3 linked regions of the Lonchura striata genome follow. The protein of the gene in region 2 purifies or fractionates together with the protein of the main gene of each other region. This does not show direct contact. Links are inferred from orthologs where the notes say so. Each region holds a gene or a part of one and is shown on either strand. Other genes may lie near its edges.

Evidence for each region.
Region 1: the proteins of AURKA (region 2) and FBXW7 purify together in Homo sapiens (affinity purification with western blotting; 5 studies listed by BioGRID). This does not show direct contact. The link is inferred for Lonchura striata from reciprocal best matches to the Homo sapiens genes AURKA and FBXW7.
Region 3: the proteins of AURKA (region 2) and ARFGAP1 purify together in Homo sapiens (affinity purification with mass spectrometry; 3 studies listed by BioGRID and IntAct, counting the BioPlex papers as one, with this or other methods). This does not show direct contact. The link is inferred for Lonchura striata from reciprocal best matches to the Homo sapiens genes AURKA and ARFGAP1.

The regions. Positions count from the first base shown.
Region 1 is NC_134606.1:43,089,858-43,093,602, reverse strand, and holds the start of FBXW7 (F-box/WD repeat-containing protein 7), read right to left. Parts: upstream 2,890-3,745; 5' UTR 2,748-2,889; intron 1-2,747. UniProt on the Homo sapiens protein: Substrate recognition component of a SCF (SKP1-CUL1-F-box protein) E3 ubiquitin-protein ligase complex which mediates the ubiquitination and subsequent proteasomal degradation of target proteins.
Region 2 is NC_134619.1:2,538,488-2,542,232, forward strand, and holds the start of AURKA (aurora kinase A), read right to left. Parts: upstream 2,441-3,745; coding exon 2,387-2,440; intron 1,766-2,386; coding exon 1,486-1,765; intron 951-1,485; coding exon 875-950; intron 259-874; coding exon 67-258; intron 1-66. Other genes in the region: CSTF1 (cleavage stimulation factor subunit 1), read left to right, coding at 3,538-3,657. UniProt on the Homo sapiens protein: Mitotic serine/threonine kinase that contributes to the regulation of cell cycle progression.
Region 3 is NC_134619.1:6,103,468-6,107,212, forward strand, and holds the start of ARFGAP1 (ADP-ribosylation factor GTPase-activating protein 1), read left to right. Parts: upstream 1-1,271; 5' UTR 1,272-1,387; intron 1,388-3,745. UniProt on the Homo sapiens protein: GTPase-activating protein (GAP) for the ADP ribosylation factor 1 (ARF1). Involved in membrane trafficking and /or vesicle transport.

The sequences.
Region 1 (3,745 bases), on a different chromosome or scaffold from region 2:
ATCTTTGTAGTCTTTGCTGTCACAAGAAACTATCTTAATATCCATAGCAGTGATCACAGTAAATAGATTTTGTCTATCCAGTGAATACTTGGAGCATTTCAGTACTGAACCATCCATCAGTTTCCACAAATTGACTAAAGCACAATACTTTGTTGTGGAAGAGCATTTTCATGAGCAATTGACGCAAAGTTTATCATGTCTTTCTAGAATTACCTGACACACACAGTCCACATATGACAAGGCTGAAGCAGCTCTGCAGATAAGATCTTTATGCTACTTTTATTTCAAGTGTAATGTACATACAGCCATTGCATGTGCTCTTCACAAAAAGATTCAGAAGATTAAACATGTTCATTAAATACCATCCTAATTTTTAAAACTCTGTTTATTTTAAAGAGACAGAAGTGTAGCATTCCTCTCTGTTTAGTAACATTGCCTGGCCTAAACCATCACACACCATTCCTTTCTTTTACTGGTTCAGAGACAAAAAATTCCATTGAAGTAATGAACTAAACTTTTGCAAAGTACCGCGTGCATACATAAGGGGAAGTAAAGTTAATTTGTCAGCCTAAGTCTAAAGATAAAAAGTATTTCTTTCCCTAAACTAGAAAGTTATTTGTTGTAAAAGCTTTTCTAACAGTTAATGCAAATGTAAATCACATACTTTCTAATAAACATTTATGTTTCCAAACAGACAGTGTTGTATTAGTAAATTATTCAGCTTGAACAAAGGACCTACACTGGTTAGATATAAGCTGCAGTAGGAGGAAAAATCTAAACCTTGACAAAAAAATTAAAAACATGAAGTGATATATGTTTTTGAGATATTTATGAACCTGGAACACCAGCAAGAATGCATAATTGCCATCAAGAGACAGAACCAGGCTGCCATTAACAACTGGATGATGATGGAAAAAGGGCAGATTTAAGTTTGGGACTAGAAAGTGACTTAAAACAAGTGTAATCAACACATGGAAAAAAAAAAAAAAGACACGGTGTCATTATGCTCCTGTAGATATTAAATCTAGCACAGAACTTACCAACTTCTTAACACTGTGGCCTGAAAAGAATGCAACTTCCTTTCCTAACCACTGAGTTCTGCAATTGAGAAAAGCTAGGAATGAACCAAATGTAGAGTTCAACTTCTTTACACCCCTTTTCAAAATAGCAACGACAGAAAGCTTAAGATATGGAGATACTTCAAACTAAAGAAATTAATCTTCTTACCTTCAGCAAACTGTGTCTCAAAACGAAACTGTGAAAGATCAGATGCCCTGCCTACCTTAAAATTCCTATCTATGTCTAGGTTTTCTCAGGTTTTCAGAGGCTATCTCCTCAGCAGAATGTAGAAGCATACAGCTGGGAAACAGGCGGTAAGTGCTCTCAAAAGCGTTGCACAAACTGAAGCATAGAGCAAGCATCCATAACTGGAATGCTGGAGTATGGCCTTCTGTTCACACCCATATATTTCAGCAACTGCGTACATTTCTGCTACGTTTTGTTTTCCTCTGCTTTCAATTGCATCTGGTAAAGAAAGCGCAGGAGAGCAGGCGCCTAGCAACTGGCCCACAGGATGTTCACAAGCTGTACATTTCTTTTAATGGAAAGCCCGACAAACCCTACAACCTTCTCCTTCAAAGGCTTTCTAGACTCCTTCCAGGAAGATGTGGAGAGGACTCATACATGCAGACAACAGTTTCCACACAAGAGTTACAATTTCTGGATCTCTGTCTGAACACTGTCTCATCAAATAAACGACATTCAACCTACTCTCTTCATTTTTTAGTACATCCTCCTCACATGTAAAAAACTGCTGTATAAATTTTAACACCCAAATAGTACAATTTAACACTAGCAGACACAATTGTTTTTTCCCCGACAAGCTACGGAGGTGTTGTTTGCTTCAGTTAAAAGAAAGTTAAGATACTCTATTAAAACATTTCAAGTTTTGATACAGTTTTTGCTCAGCGGGAAATTATGCACGGGGCGGAAATGCTAAAAATCAAAGCAAAACAGAACCCAAGCAAACAGTCCCATTCCCAAACGAGACCCTTCTTTAACCACTCCTGGAGTAAGGTCTGGAGTAAGAGCAAGAGCACTCTCGTGCCTCATGAAGCAGCAACTAGTCCGATAAACAGGAAGAGCCAACACTACTCCTGGCTTTTAAAACACATTCAAAATACTTTACATGGAAAATAAGCAACTCTTCAATAACGTTTTCCCGTGAAAAGAAGAGCTACATTTTCCACCTAAGTGTTTTGTAAATGAGCGGGCAGGAGGCAGCCGCGGGGTCTGTTAGGAGCCTCTCAACCTATAGAGAAGAGAAGGAAAACGGGGGAGCGGGGTGGGGGACGTTTGAAACCCTCGGGGCTCGCAGCCCTGCGGCCGTGCGCTCCGCTCCCAACCTTGCACAACTTTCCGCCGCGGCAGTTCCGCTCGGCTCCCCGGGCGGGGACGGGACGGAGGGGTCCGAGCCCGCCGCCTTTGTTCGCGGGGGCGCCGCTCCCGGCACAAAGCGGGCGGCAGAACTTGCGGAGGAGACCTCGGCCCTCCCCGGGGACCGTGGCGGAGCACCCCCCTCCCGCCCCGTCTCCGCGGCGGGCGGGAGCGGCGGGTGGACCGCGGGGCAGCAGACCGTGCGCGGCCGGCAACGTGAGCCGCATGGGAAACGGCGGCCCCCGGCCCCCCGCCGGCAGCCCCGGGGCACCCAGCCCCTTCCCAAGGCGGCTCTTCCCGCTCGCACTCACTTTTCGGGACGGGCTCCGCCGGGCTCTCCCTCCGCTCGCGGCGCGCGCGCCTTCCCGCCGGCGGGGCGATGCGGACGGCGAGGCGGAGCCCCTCTCCCCCGGCGGGAGGGGGTCCGCTGCCCCCCCCGCCCCGGGGCTGCCGCCGGGCTCCGGGTGACTTCAAAGGGGCTGGCGGGTCCAGCCCCCTCCCGCCCGGGCGGGCTGCGGACTGGTGGCCCTCGAGGAAAGCCCCCGGCTGCGGCTGTCCCGGCGGCGGATCAGGTGCGCCGCCGCGTCCTCTCACATGGAGCCACCGCCTCGCCGCCCCTCGGCGCCCCCCGGGCCGGTCCCCGCACCGCCGCCGGCCGGGAGGCGAGTGGCTCGGGCCGCGGCCCCCGCCGCGCTCTCCCTCTCATGCACTGCGGGCCCCGGCTCCAGCGGCGGGGGGGCCGTCAGGGCCCCGGCTGGGCGGCGCGGCGGGGCAGCCGGGCGGCGGGGCTCGGCGCCGCGACCGCTCCGCTCTGCGGCATGTGGGGGGAGCGGCGGCGCGGGGCGCTGGGCGGCGAGGCAGGGCCGGGCCGGGGACGCCGGGCGCGGTGGGGGCAGCGGCGGCAGTAGCGCCCCGGGATCCGCTCGCTTCCTGCGGCGCCGGGAGGGGGCGGGGAGGGCGGGCGGGAGAGGGAGCGAGCGCGGCGGTGGCGCGGGCGGATGACAGCGGTAACCCGGCAACGGGGCCCGCCCCGCCCCGGTGCTGGCGCGCAGCGATGATGCCGAGGGCGGGCGAGGCGGAGCCGCGCAGGTCCCGCCGCGGCCGCGCGGTTCAGCCCGGGACAAGGGGGTGGCCCCGTGGCCGCCCCGCCTTTTCCCGCCATGGGAACGGCCGGTGCCGGGGCGATGCCGGGGCGCGCCGCTCCGTGCCCGGCCGCCGCTCGGTTTGTGCGGGAGCCGGCGGTGGGAAGTGCTGGTCACGCTTGGTGCTTCTAGAAACTGAGGCTCACCTGTCCCTAGTAGCACTTTGT
Region 2 (3,745 bases):
CATAACCAAGGTCACCTTGTTTATTTGGGTGCAAACAAAGCAGAGTAAATAGTCACTGAACTTTACCTAAGATGAGACTGTATTTCCACTTCTCTTCGTAGTTGATGTTCTACACCAGCTTCCTCAAGCTGTGTTTTAAAGAGCACTTTCAGTGCGAGAATAAATTTGCTCTGTTTTTCACGTGCCAGGTACACATTCCCAAATTTTCCTTTCCCCAGAGGACGACCAATTTCAAAATCGTCGAGGGACCATTGCCTTCTGCAAGAGGAAAGTTAAAAGCTGGATAGTTGTGTTGGATTTGACTCAAATTTACAGTTTATAACATTGCTGTTCAAGAGATGCTTAGTGCTCTAAACTAGATTTTAGTCTTTAAGAAAATACCTAGAGAATAAAAGCATTGAGATTTTTCAAAAGGAAGTTGTGAAAACTATTTTCTTTCCTCCTGAAGCTTCTGCAGACACTACACCAACCACACTACTACAAAATGAAGTCTGTTTACCAAGCTGGGCTCCTTCAGATACTCCTAACCCAGACACATCACCAGGGCATGGCAAAACAATTTAAAGTTGCCATAAACAAATCCAGTTTCATATCAAAATAGACTCCAGCCTCCTGCCCAGATGAAGGAGGCTTTGTTTTCAGGAGTACATCTAGTGACTGAGGCAGCAGCTATCAGTGCTCTCCCATGGGAAGAGCCACTCTGCATTTAGCCCGAAGTTTTCTTTAGATTCCAACAAGTCCTTGTTCCTGACAATTATCAGGTCAAAGGCTGCTTTTCCTTGTGAGGTGTCTGCAAAGCAAGGGGGTCACCAGGCTCCACAGCCAAAGGAGCTCCAGCAGGGCTCAGTTATCCAGAATTCAGGCATAAACTTACTTTTTAGTCTCTTCACTTTTCTTCTTGGTCTCTTCAGTTTTCTGTTTAGAGGTGCTTTCTGCTTCAGGGTTTTGTGCTGTGTACAGAGAAGGAAATCAGTTAATGAACCAGACTCATGGGCACACACACACATGAACAAATCTAACCCCTGTGCATCATCTGAAGCAGTTTTTAGAACCCATTCAGTGACATTTTAATTAAACTAGCATGGCTGACTGCTAGGGAAGAAACAGTGCTGGCAAAATGCAATTTTAAAAGCTTATGGAGCATAAAACTCCATGAATTCTTTCCCCCTCCCCAGACAAAAGTATCCCTGGACACTTGGAAAACCTGTGAAGTCTGAATGCAAATGACATTAACTCCGAGCTGTCTGCTGAGCACCTACAAGTTTTTAACACCATAATGTCCCTAATTTATCTAATTTATCTCTGTTAATTTAGAGGTAAATTCATAAGGATGGTGCAGTAACACCCGAGGTGAACCACGTACTGCTCTTCTGTTTGGGGGCACAACCAAGAACTTCCCTGCAGGACTGTCCCTGGATCAGCAGCAGCTTTAGGAGCATCCCGAGTGTCACAGCTGCAATCACACAAAATCATCCTCAGAATTACCAGGTGCTGCAGCCTGGGGAGGTTTCTCACTGCCCTTGCTTGCAGCCTGAGGTCTCACAGCAGCCTGCTGGGGCACTTTGGGTTGGAGCTGCTGAGCTGGTTGGTTGCTGGGTTGTTTTTGGGTGGACAGAACAGGTTTTTGGGGTTGCGCGGGGACTCGCTGGGCAAAGTTTGCGGGACACAGAACTCGGGCTGGAGCTCCAGTGGTCAGTGAGCGGCTCGGGGCTGAGTGCTGCGACACGGGGACACGTCTGGGGGCATCCCCGATGGGATTGGAGACCTTCAAAGAGAAAGGAGAAGGCGTTAATTGTGCAACAGCACAGCACAGCCCTCACGGCCCCATTCAGGATGGCACGGCCACACAAAAGCACTTTAACAGAATCACGTATTTAGTTGATTAAAAGAAAATTTTGCTTATGCTGTTCCAAAAACTTATCAGGTCTATTTGGCTTTATATAAAATACTGACAAAGTGCCTGTATTTCTAAATAGAAGAAACACAATAATAAGGGTGATCTTGAGCACTGCTGCACATGTACACAGCACTTGCTTTTAAAAACTGTATCTAAAATAATTTGATAATACACACTCACTTTCTCTTTAAGAGCTCTTAAATACTTGCAATAGAAGGAAGATTTCCCCATTTAATAAGATAGGCTAATATTAACAATAATTTTTAAAAACTGCTCGGGGCTCTGTTTTCTCTAGGAGAAAGGCACTGAAAGACAAATTTCTAGTTAATATGCGATGGGGAGAAACAAACCCACCAAGCAAAAACTAAAAACCACCACTCCAGAACCTAGCAGAACTTTAATGGCAAACTCCCAGGCATCGAGTCCAAGGATGCAGCAGAAGAAATTGCTCAGGAAGAGGAACATAAGGGTGTGAAATACGCGGTCTACCTTGGCGGCGCGGCCGGGGCAGGCAGCGTGGTTCTCCTTCATGTTCCTGTCCATAGCGCCAGAGCGGGAGCGGCCCGAGCGGCTCTGGCTGAGGGCGAGAGGGAGCCAGCGGGGCTCAGCGAGCGGAGCACAGGAAATGGCGGGTCCCTTATCGATCCCCACTGTTTATCGGCAGAGATCCATCACCAATCCCCCCCGCCCGCCCTCAGGCCCGGCGCTCAGCGCGGAGCCGCCGCCTCAGGGCCGCCGGAGCTGTTTGAATTCAAACCGCCGCGCCTTAAATACCCCTTTAAACCCCCGCCGCCCGCCATTGGCCGCCCTCCCGCGGCCCGCGCACGCTGATTGGCTCCTCCCGCGGGCGGCCCGCTCGCCTATTGGTTACCAGGCGCGCTCCGCCGGGCCGCGAGGGGCGCACGCGCCTCGCCGCGCCGCGCCCCTCCACCGGCGTTGTCGCCGTGCGGCGCGTTACGCACTTTGCGTAGCGCCGCGCCGCCCCCCCCACCCCGGCGCGCGCCGCCCGCGCACTTCCCGCCGGGCCGAGCCGCCGCTTCCGCTACGCAAATCGCGTAACGCGCCGCGCTCCCACCTGTGGCCGCCGCCGCCTCCGCTCCGCTCCGCGCCCCGGGAGCGCCGCCAGGTCAGTCCCGCTCCCGCCGGACTCCCCCCCAACACACCCCCGCCCACCCCCGGGCGAGGCCGGGCAGCGGCGCCGCTGCCAGCGCGCGTGGGGCCGAGCGCCAGCGGGGCCATTGTGTGCGTGCCCCCCCCGGACGGGCCGAGCAGGGCCGGAGCCTCCCCGGTGCGGCCCCGGGCAGCGCCACGTGCCGGCAGCGCTTCAGGGCGAGCGCCGAGCGCCAAGGCCCCGCCCGGCCCGGCCCGAGCGACCGCGCACCCCTCGCAGGCGCCGGGACAGCGGCAGCGCGGCCGCTCAGCGAGCGCGGCCCGCGAGCAGCGCAGCGAGCGCGGCGTCAGGCGCTGCTGCCCCGCGGGTCCCCGCCAGGGAAACTCCGCTCGGCGCTCGGAGCTGGTGAAGAACTGCGAGGCAAGGCACTGAAAAGTTCACTGTCTCCGCGGTGCTGAAAACAAGAGCGAAGGAGAGCCTGGTTGTGTGTGTCGGTGTTTACAAGTGGTTCAGGATAGGTAAAAAGAAGATGTCGGGTCGCCGTGTCGCTGCAGCGTGTGACAGACGACAGCTGCCCCGGGGCATGGGGGGCATGGCAGCCCCGCTGCTCGACCCGCGCCCGCTCCGCCTGCCCTTCCTCGAGGCTGACGTGAGTAGCGCTCGGGGCGGGGACGGTTTGCGCCGGGGCCGGGGCCGGGCCCGCCCGCAGCGCTGCTGGGCAGCCGCGCCAGCCGCTT
Region 3 (3,745 bases), about 3.6 Mb from region 2:
CATCATGGAAATACTCAGACAGATCCATGTGGATGCAGCCTTCCTGTAAACTCCCAACAAGAATTTACCTACTCCGGACATTGAATTATTTCTCCTCATCACCAAAAAAAGAAATTCTTATTAATCTATGGACTCTGAATAGAAGAAAGGACTGATTGCTAAAATCTTGGCCTCAGGTGGAATTTTCTCTATAAAAACCGCCTGTGCCAGGATGGAGGTGTGTGGGCATAGGAGAAAACCTCTGCTGAGGCTGACTCCTTGTGGCACACCCAGGGTCGACCCCGGGCTCAGCTCTGTCCTTTCTGTGTGGCTGGCTAGATAGAATTTGACAGCTAATAAAATTATTTTTATTTTTAATCTGGCTAAATAAATTCTCATTTATAACAAGCTCCTCTCATGACGAAGCACAAACCTCAATGATGTCTCCCCTCAGTCTCCTGTTCTTCAGGCTGAACAACGCAAGGACCCTCACCCACCCCTCTAATGGCTTTCCCTAGATCCTTCCTCAAACTTGTGGCCTCCTTTGGATGCTCCTTAGGGGATTTATCTCCTCCATATATTGATTGGGGTACCCCAAACCATCCCAGCGCTCCAGCTGTGACCACAGCAGCCTGGACGTGAAGCTGGGGGAGCTTCAGCCCCTCCATCTGCTATCCCCAGCTTGGGAGCAACACGGGCCGTCACCTGAAATCACCACTGCACTCTCACCCATAGGTGTGTGAGGAAAACCCACAGAATTCCACAACATTCCACATAATTCACCCTCACGGGCAGCCCCAGCCACAAACCCCGGGGGTCGTTTTTGCAGCCGCACGGGGAGAGCAGCGCGCCCGCAAGGCTCGCTGCAAAGCTTTACTTCAGCTGGAAACAAATCCCTTGGACTCCTCTCTGGAGCACGGGGAGCTGGATCCCATGGAACCCGGCCCGGCCCGCAGCGGGTTAAGCCGCGCGCCCACAATGCCTCGCGCCCTGCAACGTCGGCGGCGCCGGGCGGGACCGGGCCGGGCCGGCACCGGGACCGGGATCGGCACCGGGAGCAGGGCCGGCACCGGGAGCAGGACCGGCACCGGGACCCAGCAGGGGCGGCAGCGTTGCTCAGGTCTCCGTGGCTCCCCGCAGCCCAGCCCCGCGCTGAGGCGGCGCTGCTCGGCCCCCGCGCTGCCGCCCCGGCCGCAGGCTGCCAGGCTGGCGCGGCGGGCAGGAGGCAGCGCCCTGCCCGCTGTTTCAGCTCTTTCTGCGTTGTTTTCTTGCCCAGAAAGCAGAGGCCGGAGGGCTCGGCGGATCCCGGCCATGTTGTGAGGGAGGGAGGCTGCAGGACGCCGCTGGGATCCGGGTACCGCAGGTGTGCCTGAAGGAATCGCTCTTCCTCGGCCCCGCGAGGCGCTGGGTGAGTGTGGAGCTGCTCGGCTTTGATGTATTTGCGAAGGAGAACCGTGCCAGCTCCGTGGAGATGGGCGCTTTGTGAGCTTGCCAAGGTTTTTTCAGCCGCTGTGGCCTTTTTGCACTGGTGGGACTCAGGGGGAGCCTTGAGCACCATGAAGGCACCAGGCCACGTCACCCGCTGACTCTTGGTGTGTGAATCGCAAAGCCCTTTGCAGGCTGGCTCTGAATTTCGTGCTGTGTCAGAGGAGCAAAGTCCTGTTATGTATTATTTCCGCTTCTAGTCCACTTCTGCCTTTTTTGCCTTGTTTAGCAAACTAAAGATTTCATAACCAGAAAACTCATATGGTGAACATCTAGTTTTTGCTCTGGGAGCAGATTGTTTGGGAAATAAGAGTGTGAGATTGCTTTATGTGAAGCTAACTCCACTTTGGAACCCTTGTCAGAAATATATATATTCATAAATGGAAATTTACTCCAAAACGAAACCTTTTCTTTACTGCTTATGTCTATTTCTATTAGATCAAAACAATGTATATTTCTTTACGGTGGCTTCTTTCTTCATTATTTAGCTATGAAACTTAAACGGCACAGGTTTATATACTTAAACACTGATTTAAGTATATAAAGTTTATATACTTAAGTTTATATACTTAAGCACTGCTTATATATCCAGTCAGCTATCAGGCCTCAGCTTTTTGGTGGTGATCAATGATAATTTGAACCCTTAAAACTTTGTGAGAAAATCATTAAAAGTAAACTAGGCACCTCTAAAGGTGTTACCTATTAGAAAGCTTAGAACATGACATTTTTACTTTGTCATTTATTTCCAAATGCTTTGGTGGGGGAGGACAAGATGAAAAGCTGGTGCCTTTAGTTACCTCCTCCTTTTCTTGGTGTGGGTGAAGCTCTTCCTTCCCACTAGACAGATGTGGTTTGGGCAGGGAACTTGGTGCATGTGGAATGGGTGTATGTTCTGACTGCAGTTTGCCTAAGTCTTTCCGTTTTTGTTTAAAAAAAGGTAGTTATGGCAGAACCAAAAGCAATTGCTTCCTTTGTCACCTTGGAGCTGGAGATCTGAAACTCATGTGTAAGCTCTGGAGGGGGCTGGATATTGGCTGTTGGAGGATGGATGTAACTTTCTGCTTTGTAGACAGTTCCTGGCATGTGCAGAGTTGGAGTGGGAAGAGGCTTTCCTGTTCAGCTCCAGCAGTGCTGGTTTGCCATTGAGGCAGGCCTCTGCATGTAGACTGCCTCTGCTGGTTATTCTGATTGAAAATCTGTAAAAAAAGGAGGAAAAATAGTAAAGGAAGGGCAGGAATAAGAGGATTGGACATCCCACCAAAGAGGGGAGCTTTGGAAGCTGTCAGTAATGTACAGGAAGATGCTGGGGAAATTAATTCCTGAGGAAAAGATGTTGGCATGCAAAGAGCAATAATGGCAGAGAGGAGGGCCCAGAGGGTGCACTGTTGTCTGTCTGGCTATTCCTGCTGAGTTATTTACTTAATTTCTGTACTGCAGAGGAAGAATTCTACATTAGCTCACCAGGGACAGATAGTGGAATTGAAGACAGAGACTGAGAATCATATAAATGTGTTTATGGTTGTTATTTAGGACATGAGCAAATGCACATAGTGCTATTTCCCTCCCTGCTCACATGCACATGAGTTGTGGAAGGTTAAATGTTATTGAAATGCTATTGGAAAAGGTGTGTTTAATTATATGAGTAGTCACTTGACACACTTTCATTCTCCTGTCTTAAAATTACACAATTTTTATTAGATTATTGATAAAAATAACTGTGCTCAGTTTTATTTTAATACAGGATGGCAGGAAGATTTTATTCACCACTATTTGCATTGACTTTTATTGCAATTACCTGGTTTTGCCCAATACAAAGCAATTAAGGCTGAAAAGGTGGCACATTCTAAACATCAATGAAAGCACTTCACCTTAAATTCCACAAAATTAAGCATTTGTTAACAAGATATTTACAGAGGAATAAGTGCTTTAGATAAAAAGCAATGACTTGTGCTACAATCACCCTCTGCTTTTAGCAGTAGCAATATGTAGGTACAGCAGTGAGCTTTTCCTTTCTGAGTCATGTTATCTTAGCAGGTGATGCACAGAACTATTTATTGTACTGCTTTGCTTTAGAGATTGAAATTGTTGCCAGTCATACAAATGCAATATTTCCTTACCTGTAGCATTTTACCTTTTTAAACACCCTTCCTTGATTTATTTAAGATAAATACTTCCTCCATCCCCTAGGGCTGTTGTCTGTAACAGTCATTTACCTTCTAAAATTACTGTGAGATTGTTAATTTTATTGATGTTCTAAGGACTTTTGATTATTTGGTCAAAC